3 linked regions of the Arabidopsis thaliana genome follow. The protein of the gene in region 3 purifies or fractionates together with the protein of the main gene of each other region. This does not show direct contact. Each region holds a gene or a part of one and is shown on either strand. Other genes may lie near its edges.

Region 1 (3,753 bases), on a different chromosome or scaffold from region 3:
CGAATCCTTAAGGGAAGATACTTCAGATATAGTAGCCCATTAGAGATTACAGTATCCAATCGGCCATCGTATGGCTGGAGGAGTATGCTTGCTGCCAAACATGTTCTCAAGGCCGGGATTCGTAGGACCATTGGGTCGGGTTTTGAGACTTGTATTTGGACTGATCCATGGATCCCAGATATCTCCCCAAGACCACCGAAAGGTCTAGCTACGGATAGAAAACCTCTGATCTATGTAAATACCTTGATTGATTTTGAAACGAAACAGTGGAAAGTAGATCGGTTACGTGAGCTCTTCCCCCCCAAAGATATTACCCTCATTTTAGGGATAAAACCGAGCTTAAATGCCTCGCGAGATGGATATAGTTGGACTATGACCAAATCAGGTAATTATACCGTCAAGACAGGATATGAAGCCGCGAGAGCTATCTCTCGCCCGTCTTGTGACCACCCTTTTCAGGGACCTAGTGTTTCAGCACTAAAGGCGCAAGCGTGGAAGTTAAAAACTACACGAAAGCTTAAGCATTTTGTGTGGCAATGTGTGTCAGGTTGTTTGGCAACATGTCAACGACTACATTTTCGCCATATTGGTAGAGATAAAAAGTGTCCCAGATGTGGGGCTAATGAGGAAACCATCAACCATTTGCTATTTGATTGTCCACCAGCGAGACAAGTCTGGGCTTTGTCCGGTATTCCCTCCTCTCTATCTAGGTTTCCGTCGCCCTCTATATACAATAATCTGGATTATTTGTATTGGAGAGCAAAGGAGATTGGAGCTAGCGAGGAGAGCCTACGGATTTTTCCGTGGATCATGTGGTATATTTGGAAAGCGCGAAATCGAAAGATTTTTGAAAATATTTGCGTCCAACCTCAAGACACTTTAGGATTGGCAATCCAAGAGGAAGAAGTTTGGAGGAGAGCCAACATGAGAGAGGAGCAAGTGGAGGAGACGGTGCCATGTTTGCAAGTCCCAATTTTACCTTTGGACGTTCCAGTGTGCTTTATTGATGGGTCGTGGCATGTATCTGAACCTCGAAGTGGTCATGGGTGGATATTGAACATCGGGGAAAGACTGTTACACTTGGGATTGAAGGGATCACGACGTTGTTTATCACCGCTTCACGCGGAATTAGACACATTAGTTTGGGCCTTGAAGTGCATGGTGGGATTGTCGATATCGAGGGTACAAGTTATGACGGATTGCTCAGATCTTATCACCATGGTTAATACCCCGGAGGAGTGGCCTAATTTTGCATCGGAGCTAGAAGATTTCAAGATTTTTAGAGATAAACTTGTATCTTTAAATATTAACTACGTTCCTCGAACTAGTAATATTCGTGCAGATTACCTTGCAAAATGTGCAAGAGCACACGGATTCTGTTTTTCCCATGTAAGTTCAACGATTCCCGATTGGCTCTCTTTAGAGGAGAGCTTATATCCGTAGAATAATAGATGGAGTTAGATCGAGAAAAAAAAAAAAAAAAATTATGGTACTTATAAAGTTTAAATAACTATAAGCATTAAAGCATATATATTAAGCATCATTTGTTATGGTATTTAATTTTAAAAACTAGTTGACTTTTTAAATTGTCAACTCTCACCACAACTAATGGTCAAGATAATCTAAAACAATGCTAAAAAGGTCATGAACCCTGACCTAATTTTGTGGATCCAGCTAAAGATGTGATTATTTTTTATAAATTAGTCAACTGGAACAAATTTCATATACTGGCACCTAGTCTATGTGCCTTTGGTTATGCACAAATGCAACTCTAAAATCGTAAAAATCGGTGACTTTTTAAAATGAGTTTGGTTAGCGGTTCGATTCGGTTCATCAAAAGGAACAGTCAACCTTGTTTGTTCCAAAAAAAGGCTACGAAGGACCAAAAAAAGAAAAAAAGAAATGGCCTATACAGGGATCGAACCTGTGACCTTCGCGTTATTAGCACGACGCTCTAACCAACTGAGCTAATAGGCCACTTGTTATATTGTTTCCATTGTATGAATATATTCAAAACCTATGAATTTGTCACTATCTCTGCTTCAACTAACACAAACCTTTGTACTCTCCGCTCCTTCACCTGCAAAAACAACATCTCTCACATTCTCTCTAAACTCTCTTCACTGTTACTCGACAATGGCTACTACTTCTAACTCGGTACTTTTCCTAAGTTCTGACTCACTGATTCATCATCATCATCATCAACCTCTCCATCTATCTTCCTCCAGATCTCACTCTGTTTCTCTCCCACCCAACAAGCGATCCAATTCTCTCACGCTTCGTTGTTCAACAAATGGCGATAGCACCTCAACCGAAAAGGAAACACCAATCGAACTCAGTAAGATTTTTCTCTCGATTTCTAATGTTTCCGACATTCGTCATTCTCTTACTCAATCTGTTTCTCTTAATCCCCAGAATTCCCAGCATTTCCAACGGTAATGGACATTAACCAAATCAGAGAGATATTGCCTCACAGGTATAAAATATTCATAAGACTTCAACTTTCGGTGATTTGATGAGTTTTCGTTGAAACCCATGTTTGAAGTTTTGATCTTTCTGGAATTTGACATTATGGTTCTTGGATTTTAGGTTTCCGTTTCTGCTGGTAGATAGAGTGATAGAGTATACGCCTGGTGTTTCAGCTGTAGCTATTAAGAATGTCACCATCAATGACAATTTCTTCCCTGGCCATTTCCCTGAACGACCAATCATGCCTGGTGTTCTCATGATTGAGGTAATAATAATCGTTTAAAGTTGCAAACTTTTGTCCTCAAGAAGATCAAATATTTTGTAATTGATATGTTAGCTGTTGTATTCCTTTCAAAATGCTTTAATGTTCGCTACTGTTTTAATCGAAGATGGATGTTAACTATGATAAGAGGTTAATGATCTGCTAGTTTGGATTCTGAATCCTGATAGATTAGCGCGAGATCTTCACCTGGTTGGTAATTGAATTGTCCTTCTGTGGTCTGATAGAGTGATGAGTATATTATAGTTGAGGGACTTCAACTTCACTTTGCTAAAAACTTGATCCAAAATGTGTGAAGCTATCTGCAGCTTTGATACTGAAAACTCGAGTCTGCGTAGTAGAAATATGCAACTTTAAGCTTGAAAGAGGTTAATGATCTCGCTAATTTGGTAGAGGTTTTGGATTCTGAATCCCGATAGAGGATCACAGATCCTCTATAAAAAAGATAACCGCCATATGGTTGAGTATTAATGTCTTGAAGATCATTTCACTGAAAAGTCAGAGTTTGTGTATTGCAGGCAATGGCGCAAGTCGGAGGTATAGTAATGCTGCAGCCGGAAGTAGGAGGCTCTCAAGATAACTTCTTCTTTGCTGGTATTGATAAAGTGAGATTTCGCAAACCAGTGATTGCAGGAGACACGCTAGTCATGAGGATGACTCTTCTCAAGTTCCAGAAGCGGTTCGGGCTCGCTAAAATGGAAGGTAAAGCTTATGTGGGTGGTGCTCTGGTGTGTGAAGGCGAGTTCATGATGGTTTCTGCTGGTAGTTCTTGATCTCACCCATTAATGGTCTCACTTCCCACATGTGGACTCTTCTTATGCTTCTTCTGTTATTCGAAAATCTAGACAAGACAGCTTTATGTTTTCGACATTTATATGAGCTACTTTTGCCCTTCGTGTCTTTATTGCTGTCTCCAATTTATGAACATTCATAAGATACAAATACAGAGATTTTGATTTTGAAAATCCATATTCATAGATCATAAGTTTGGTTATATTACAAGG
Region 2 (3,753 bases), on a different chromosome or scaffold from region 3:
TTTTGAAAGAAACTACCACACTACCTCACAGTTACGATGTCATCAATCTTCAAAATCATCCTAACGCATTCAGTTGCTAAAGTGATCGCACTGGTACTCACAAGCAGAGGCTGAACAACATTTTCCTCCAAGATGTTAGTGATCTGTCCTTTCCTCACATTGATCCCTGCGTTGATTTCCCCTTGAGCATGCTTGTTCCTGAGTTCAGTCACAATGGCGATAGGGTTTAACCCTGCATTCTCGGCTAGTGTGTAAGGAATAACTTCGAGAGCTTCAGCAAAAGACTTCACACAGTAACCTTCCATCCCATGTAGCACCTTAGCCCAAGCACCGAGCTGCCTTGAGAGCTCAATCTCTGGTGCACCACCTCCTGCAATCAAAAACCTTTTGCTCACTAGACACCTAACCACACACAAGGCATCATGTAAACTCCTTTCAGCTTCATCTAGAACAAGCTGGTTGGAGCCACGAACTAGAACAGATGTAGTTCTCCCCATGTCCTTGATACCAGTGATCTTCAAAATCTTTCCATCTCCAAGGGAGGCCTCCTCAACAAGATCAGCATGGCCAAGCTTCTCAGCTCTGAAATGCTCAATATTGGCGATAGGCAAGCAGTTCAATGTCTTGGTGACAAATTCAATCTCATCTCTCTCAACATCCTTAATAACCATAATCTTAGCTTTGGCCAAATAGTGAAGAGATAGATCAGTCACTGCATCCCTCAAAATACTCTTCTGAATCAACAACACATTGCAACCAGTTGCTTTGATCTTCTTAATCATCCCCAATATGTAATTCCTCTCTTCTTTCAAGATCCTATCCATCTGAGTATAATCAGAGACAACAATACTCTGCTCGATATCAGTCTTAGGAGGTGAGATCTGGAACTGAATCACAGCAATCTTAGCATTCTCCACACGAGTCGGTCCACCAGCAGCACGGCTAACCTTCTTATCAAAAACCAAACCTTTCACAGTATGTGTATCATCCACAGTCCCACCAAGCTTCTTAACAATCTTAATATCACGCAAATCCACAATCTCAGGCTTTTCCGGATCTATAACAGAGAGAACCGCATCTACAGCTAAAGGAGCAAGCAATGTAGAGTACTGACTAACAACCTTACTGTTAAGCGATGTGCTCGCAGATTTCACAAGTGAATCTCTATCAGTGAGCTCCACTGGAACAGCCATGGCAGTCAAAATATCGATCGCCTTACCACACGCCTTGTGAAGCGAATCTGAAATGACAGTAGGGTGGATCCCGTTTGTGAGAAGCGATTGACACTCCTTGAGAAGCGCACCGGCGATTACTACGACAGTTGTGGTACCATCTCCGGCGGCTGAATCTTGAGATTTGGAAAGCTCGACTAACATCTTCGCCGCTGGCTGCAAAACCTCCATCTTGTTAAGGATCGTAGCTCCATCGTTAGTAATGATTACCTCTCCGTTCGCCGTGGAAATCATCTTGTCCATTCCTTTCGGTCCCAAACTAGTACGGACGGCGTCAGAGACTGCTCGAGCAGAGTTGATGTTCGCGAATCGGATATCTTCTCTCCGCTTGTTGTCTACGAACGATTCAGCTTTAGATCCACGGGGCTTCGAAGCCATTGGTGCCGCTACCGCCGCCATTTTTTTACTACGAGTGAGAGAGCTTGAGATCTCGACGGAATTGATCTCGAACGGAGAAATTTGCAGAAAACCCTAAATGGAAGTGTGACAAGAGTGTTCTGGAAATGAAAGAGAGAATAGAGAATTTGAAAAAAGCCCTAGGGTATACGCTATTGTTTGATAAATGGGCCTGTTTTGAGTTTTTATGAGTTAGCCCAAAAGGCCCAGTTATTGGTTCAGACTTCAGACTTGAGTGTTTGTTAAGGGGACGGTTAAACAAATTTGAGAAAAATCTAAACTAGACCAAATGATCTGGTAATTATTTCGTTCCCAAGATTACAGTACACGAATGCTTGAAAGTTACTTATTTACACTGACTGATTATGCAATAGCTCAAGAGCTTTGACAAGAACCAGCTTGAACCGGTTTATATCAACGCTAACGTTCTGCTGTACCAAATAAACCGACTTGAAAGTTCCCCACCCGCGTTTTGCAACGGCCAATGGATCTCTAACGAACTCGTGATCGCGTCCGTACTGCTTCACCAGTGTGCTCTCCTCCGCCGTGATCTTGTACTCCAAATACCTCAGATTCATGCCCTTCGACGGATACTCGAAATCCATCTTTGCAAGCCACTCGAATCCACCGATCGGAAGAATCTGAATCACGATCGCGTTATCAGGTAAGAACACCATGTTCGTCATCCCCGCGCCGTGAACGCCGAGCATCACGTCACAGGAGTTCACAGTTATTGCGAAACTCGCGATTTCCGTGTTTGCTTCCGCCACCACGACTTTAAATCCGATTTGTCTCGCCGCTCTAGCGATTTCACCCGCGTTCACAAACGCTCGCGATCTGCTCCTAGACAAAATCAGAATCCGTGGCTTCCGCCTCGTAGTCACGGCGGAGTTTCTCAATGAGTATGTGTCTCTGAGGAATTTCCGGAAATCGGACATTGAATACTCCGAATTCGAAGGATCAGTCGTTAGCTCTTTGTCATAATCACGGTGGCGATTGAGACCAACGATGACGCTGCTGAAACAATGCGTTTCGTCTTCTTCGTCGATGTAAATCACTTCGTAATTAGAGAGTTTCCTCACTAATTCCTTAAATTTGTTGATCCACAAAAGATTCTTGTTCGTCACGAGGAACTGAACTTCACCGCTGAATCTACGCGCCGTCGTGTACAGAGGAATCACGATGTCCGTGAAATCATGGAAATTGTTCAACGAGAAGCCTCCGAGAGAGAAAAGAATCGCCGGAACGCTGTGATTCCTAACGCAGCGTGATAAACTAGCGTTTTGTACTAATTTCACCGTCCATTCTCTCACGCGTTTCATGGCAGGAACTTGGTCTTTTCTCGCATAAGGTCTCATATACCACGTGGAATTCCCGGAAAACGCAAACGTGACCGCCGCAAGAACAGTTGCGGATTTACCATGGATTCTTACGTCGCCGCTTACATCGCAAAACTCTTTGCTTCCTAGTGTGTTACAGTGACAGATAGGTTTCTCCATTTTATTGCACTCTGAAGATTCAGTCAGGACAAAATCAAAAGAACAAACTGTATCATACTATACAGAAAATGACTAAAAACCATAACAAGACAATTGTAGAGAAAATTCTGAAGTATATTGACCTGAAATAACTTCTTCTTTGGAGATTGTAGTGTTGGTAGTTAATTCTGTTATACTCAGCATCCTTAGACCAGTGCCAACTGATAACTGTAACTCCACTGAAGAAAGAAAGAAAGAGATACACGTTAAAATGATTGTTTTTGCGTTATCTGGCTTTTCGGCAAAACGTGGTAAGAGACTTACCGATTGGTAAAGGGCTGAGATAAGGTTTAACGACAGTGCAAAGAGTGAGGACCAAGAGAAGAGAGGCAATGAAAGCTCCACAGCAAAGTCTCTTCTGATCAGTTTTGCTAAAACTACGAGCAAGTACTGTATCGTAAAGAATATCCTTCTTTGTCATCTCTTGACTCTTAAGTTACACAAAACTTTTCTTTCTTCTTCAGCAAGAAACTCTATAATCAGAGTTTACTGGCTAATGTAGAGATATGAAGGTCAAGCTAGGTGGGAGAGCGAGAGGATTATGTGAGGTATTTAAGAATTTGTTTGACGATATTATCTGTGTTTTT
Region 3 (3,753 bases):
TTTCCTCTTCTCTCTTTAGCATTTCCAACAGATCAATAGCCTGTAACGAAGTTCAATCATAAGATAATGCCTCCTCAACTTGTGACAAATCATAGGGTTCTAATGAAATGATTTTTAGACAAACCTTACAAATAGCCAAGTTAATTGAGGAGAGCCAGGCCTGCAGAGGAAAGCAATAAGACAAGAAAGCTTAGAAGAAAAAATCGAATTAGAGAAAGCAGCAAAACAAAAAGTGGGACAAACCTCTCTCTCTTCTTCGCTGTCATCATCTGGAATATCATCTTCTCCAGATTCAACCGGAGTCGACAAAGCTGATGCTTTAGTGGAACGTCCACGTCGCTCCTTCCTCTCTTTAATTTCAAGAAGCTTTGCCTCTGCAGCCTTTTGACGTTTGAACCGAGCTATCTACAAAGTACCATAATCATGAAGACACAACACGCATTTCAAAATCCGAAAACTTTAAACTTCATTCTCGTCAGAACATAAACAAAAGAAACAGGGCTGAATCTACCTTGAGAGCCCTTCGATCAGCAGGTGCACCAGAACCTCCTCGTGAAGAAGCCTCCAACTCCTCATCCGGAACAAGCTCCATTGCCTCACAGAACGAAAAGAACTCCTAGACACAATAACAAAACTATACATCAATCTCAAAAAAAATCCAACCAAATGCTCATTCCCACTTGCAATAGCATCAAAGGGATACAAAAACATGTAAACACTCAGCAGAAAACTAACCTTCAACTTAGCATACGAGGCTTTGACAATCTGAATCCGGTCCTCCTGTATGATTTTCTCTGTCAACTCCGCAAGATAATAAGGCACCTATAATCACAAGACAATATAATCCCTCGTCACTTTATAGAAATGTCAACTCGCAACACAATCTTATGATCTCAACACAATCTTATGGTCTCCACACAGAGTAAGTTCAATGGAAAACGTTACAATCCAAAATCTCAGACTCCATTTTGAATTTCAGTCAGTAGCTAAAACTAGAAGCATCAGGACAAGCTAAAGTTTTTCACTTTCAGATCTTTCCACACCAAAACTAATAACAAAACTAGAATACAAACAAATTACAAAAATCCAAACAACAGAGACTCAATTGCATACCAAAAGATATTTGAGATTGTTGGTGCTAATATCTTCTTTAGTCTCGTTAGACGAAAACAGCGCCAGCTTCCCGATCATATCTTCGCACTTCTGAAACATCTCACATCCTTTCTTCACAACATCCTAACAAACCAAAGGAAAAGAATGAACTAAGCATCCCCGGAAATGTCCAATTCAGTAAAAACTCGCGATTCGGATTCGAAATACCCATTTCAGATAAACACCCTAATCGAATCTGTATATAAAAAAGAGGTAGAAGCTTCCACCTGATCAACACCAGACTCTGAAGCAGCAAGATGAATTTTCCTAGCTTGCTCGAATAGCACCGATAAAGGCATTTCCTCCATAGCCAAACCACCCATCACAGGCAACAATTCAAAATTCCTTAATGAAATCGAATCCACAAGAATCGAGTTTCTTCGAGAAGAGGATCGTCTTTTGAATTTTTTTAGGGTTCCAAATCGAAATCTGACTAATTTACCACGAGTACACACAGACAGAGGAGAGAAAATGTTAACCGCGAAGAGCTTTATAAGGGACGGTTGAGATTTTGCCGCGTCAGGTGAAGTAGATAACTCGAATTCTATTAGCCGTTAGATCTGTCCACAACCTCAAAAGTCAAAAACCGACTCAGTTGTATAAAAATATCAAGTCAAAGATCAGGTGCGGCGGGTGTAGTGTAAAACCGCCACGAATGTGATTGTGGCTATGGTATATGAATGTTTACTGTTTTTTTTCTTAATTTGAATGGAGATGAAATTTTCTTGATTTTTGTACGAGTAGGAGTATGAATAAACTAGTATCGCACCCGCTGTCTAAGCAGCCCGAATTGTCGTAGTGTTATTGATTCGATCGACCTATAGCAGTAAGGAATGGTGGATACCGATAACTAAAGCCACCTCAATCGCGGTGAATCAGCTGGATCCAAAGATTTAGGAACATCCAACAAACAATTCATGAATCGAAAACGAAGAGGTGCATTGATTGAACAGAGCTTACTATATATACTATATATGACTGTCACCCATTACAGTCTACATAGCTTGAAAGGGAAATGGATACAGAACTTAAATGTTTGACTTTCACGCATTTCACTCGACATATCTTCAAGAGGAAAATGAATTGACTGAATAAACTGTAGTATGCTATATACACAGCACAATAATCCGCATTATTTAATCTCTCACGCACACCCGCGCAGAGAACAACAGCCTCCTAAGCGACCAAAGCTAGAGGGATGCTTCAAAAGTTGACCTGAGATGAGAACTGCAAGTTGAGAGAAACTACTTGCCAGATCTAAAATAAGATAGTCATATGCGATTCATTAGGAGACTTTGGGAGTGAATGGTTCTTACTTCTTACGAGAATTGAGCCATACGGCAAGAGAAATCTCAGTTACGATGATATTGGATGGCTGGGTAAGGGTAGCGAGTGGCGACTTGGCTGAAAAAAGGTTAAATTTACGTATTGAGAAAAAATGTGAAGAGTAAAAAATTAAAGAAAGTAGTTGAGGATGTTTATGAGCAGAACCTGAGTAACCCCAAAAGACTTGTCGTCACCCATTTTTTCAAGTCAATGAAAATGCCTGCGAACTTGATCACGATTATCTGATATGAAAGAACAGAAAGAGAGTATATATGGTTTAGGGATATATAAGAAAAGACAAATGTTGTGTTCACTTGTAAAGAGGACTTACCTGAGATATGATAGTTGAGGTTATTGTAACGAGAAACATATTCTCTCTAAGGACTTCTTTGAAGGTTTGGTCTACACTTTGGATTTCAAACTCATTAAAAACCTGCGTTATTTTAGAAAGATAGAGAGATGATCAACATATGAACTCTAATTAGAAGAGTGGGAAAAAATCAGATATTACCAGGTAGAAGACAAAGGAATTGAATATCAATGTGTTCATCATTTTTTCGGCATTGCCCGTCTGACCATGCTTCAGCTTCAGTAGCTTCTCAGAATTTATGAGTACCAGCGAGAGCACTAGGTAAAATACCTGGAGGAAGGTATTTCATGACACAAGCATTATTAGAGGTCTCCAAACCAGTGTGTTTGTCTCTAATCTAAATAATTAATTAGTTTAATATCACCAAGGAATTGTATTTGCTCCTTGGAAACTATGAAGGTGTGAAATACTTAATCTGACATTAACGTCCACACATGATCAATCGAGGATTTTACCCTACATACCTGAATTATCATCTTGGACCACATCGTCTTGGTTATAAGAGGATCTCTGAAAAACAAAAAATGTACACATGCATATGTACTATCAGTTTGTGTATATTCACCTAGAACAGATAGTGTGTTTTAACAAGAATTGCAAAACCAACAGTTTCTTCAAAACCTTCAGCATCAATACATTAATGTCTCTTTCTAAGCCAACTCTATATTGACTTAATAATCAAATCTTATCCTTGATCCTATTCAGAATTTGTACCTTATACCAACCGGTGGCTTTCCCATTAGGTGGTGATCAGATCTTGGTCTGTATGCCAAAGCTAATGCTCCTAAGATGTCGATAATTAGATTAACCAACAGAAACTGCATCAGGAAAAAGCAAAAACTGGGTTAGGGAAAAGGTTTCCAATCTTGGAAAAGCTGGATAACAAGATGATGAAGTAACAAAGG

What was found.
Region 1: the proteins of TAP46 (region 3) and AT2G22230 purify together in Arabidopsis thaliana (affinity purification with mass spectrometry, with the first as the bait; one large-scale study listed by BioGRID). This does not show direct contact.
Region 2: the proteins of TAP46 (region 3) and AT3G18190 purify together in Arabidopsis thaliana (affinity purification with mass spectrometry, with the first as the bait; one large-scale study listed by BioGRID). This does not show direct contact.

The regions. Positions count from the first base shown.
Region 1 is NC_003071.7:9,447,906-9,451,658, forward strand, and holds AT2G22230 (Thioesterase superfamily protein), read left to right. Parts: upstream 1-2,024; 5' UTR 2,025-2,136; coding exon 2,137-2,338; intron 2,339-2,415; coding exon 2,416-2,476; intron 2,477-2,589; coding exon 2,590-2,734; intron 2,735-3,267; coding exon 3,268-3,522; 3' UTR 3,523-3,718; downstream 3,719-3,753.
Region 2 is NC_003074.8:6,230,104-6,233,856, reverse strand, and holds the start of AT3G18190 (TCP-1/cpn60 chaperonin family protein), read right to left. Parts: upstream 1,750-3,753; 5' UTR 1,632-1,749; coding exon 21-1,631; 3' UTR 1-20. Other genes in the region: AT3G18180 (Glycosyltransferase family 61 protein), read right to left, coding at 1,979-3,138, 3,250-3,345, 3,431-3,587. UniProt on the Arabidopsis thaliana protein: Molecular chaperone; assists the folding of proteins upon ATP hydrolysis. Known to play a role, in vitro, in the folding of actin and tubulin.
Region 3 is NC_003076.8:21,486,395-21,490,147, forward strand, and holds the start of TAP46 (2A phosphatase associated protein of 46 kD), read right to left. Parts: upstream 1,649-3,753; 5' UTR 1,476-1,648; coding exon 1,380-1,475; intron 1,237-1,379; coding exon 1,114-1,236; intron 823-1,113; coding exon 736-822; intron 617-735; coding exon 512-616; intron 406-511; coding exon 244-405; intron 161-243; coding exon 125-160; intron 41-124; coding exon 1-40. Other genes in the region: AT5G53010 (calcium-transporting ATPase), read right to left, coding at 2,505-2,556, 2,644-2,720, 2,810-2,911, 2,990-3,118, 3,313-3,358, 3,563-3,666. UniProt on the Arabidopsis thaliana protein: Involved in the positive regulation of the TOR signaling pathway. Acts as a negative regulator of PP2A catalytic activity. Plays a positive role in the ABA-regulated inhibition of germination, probably throught its interaction with ABI5.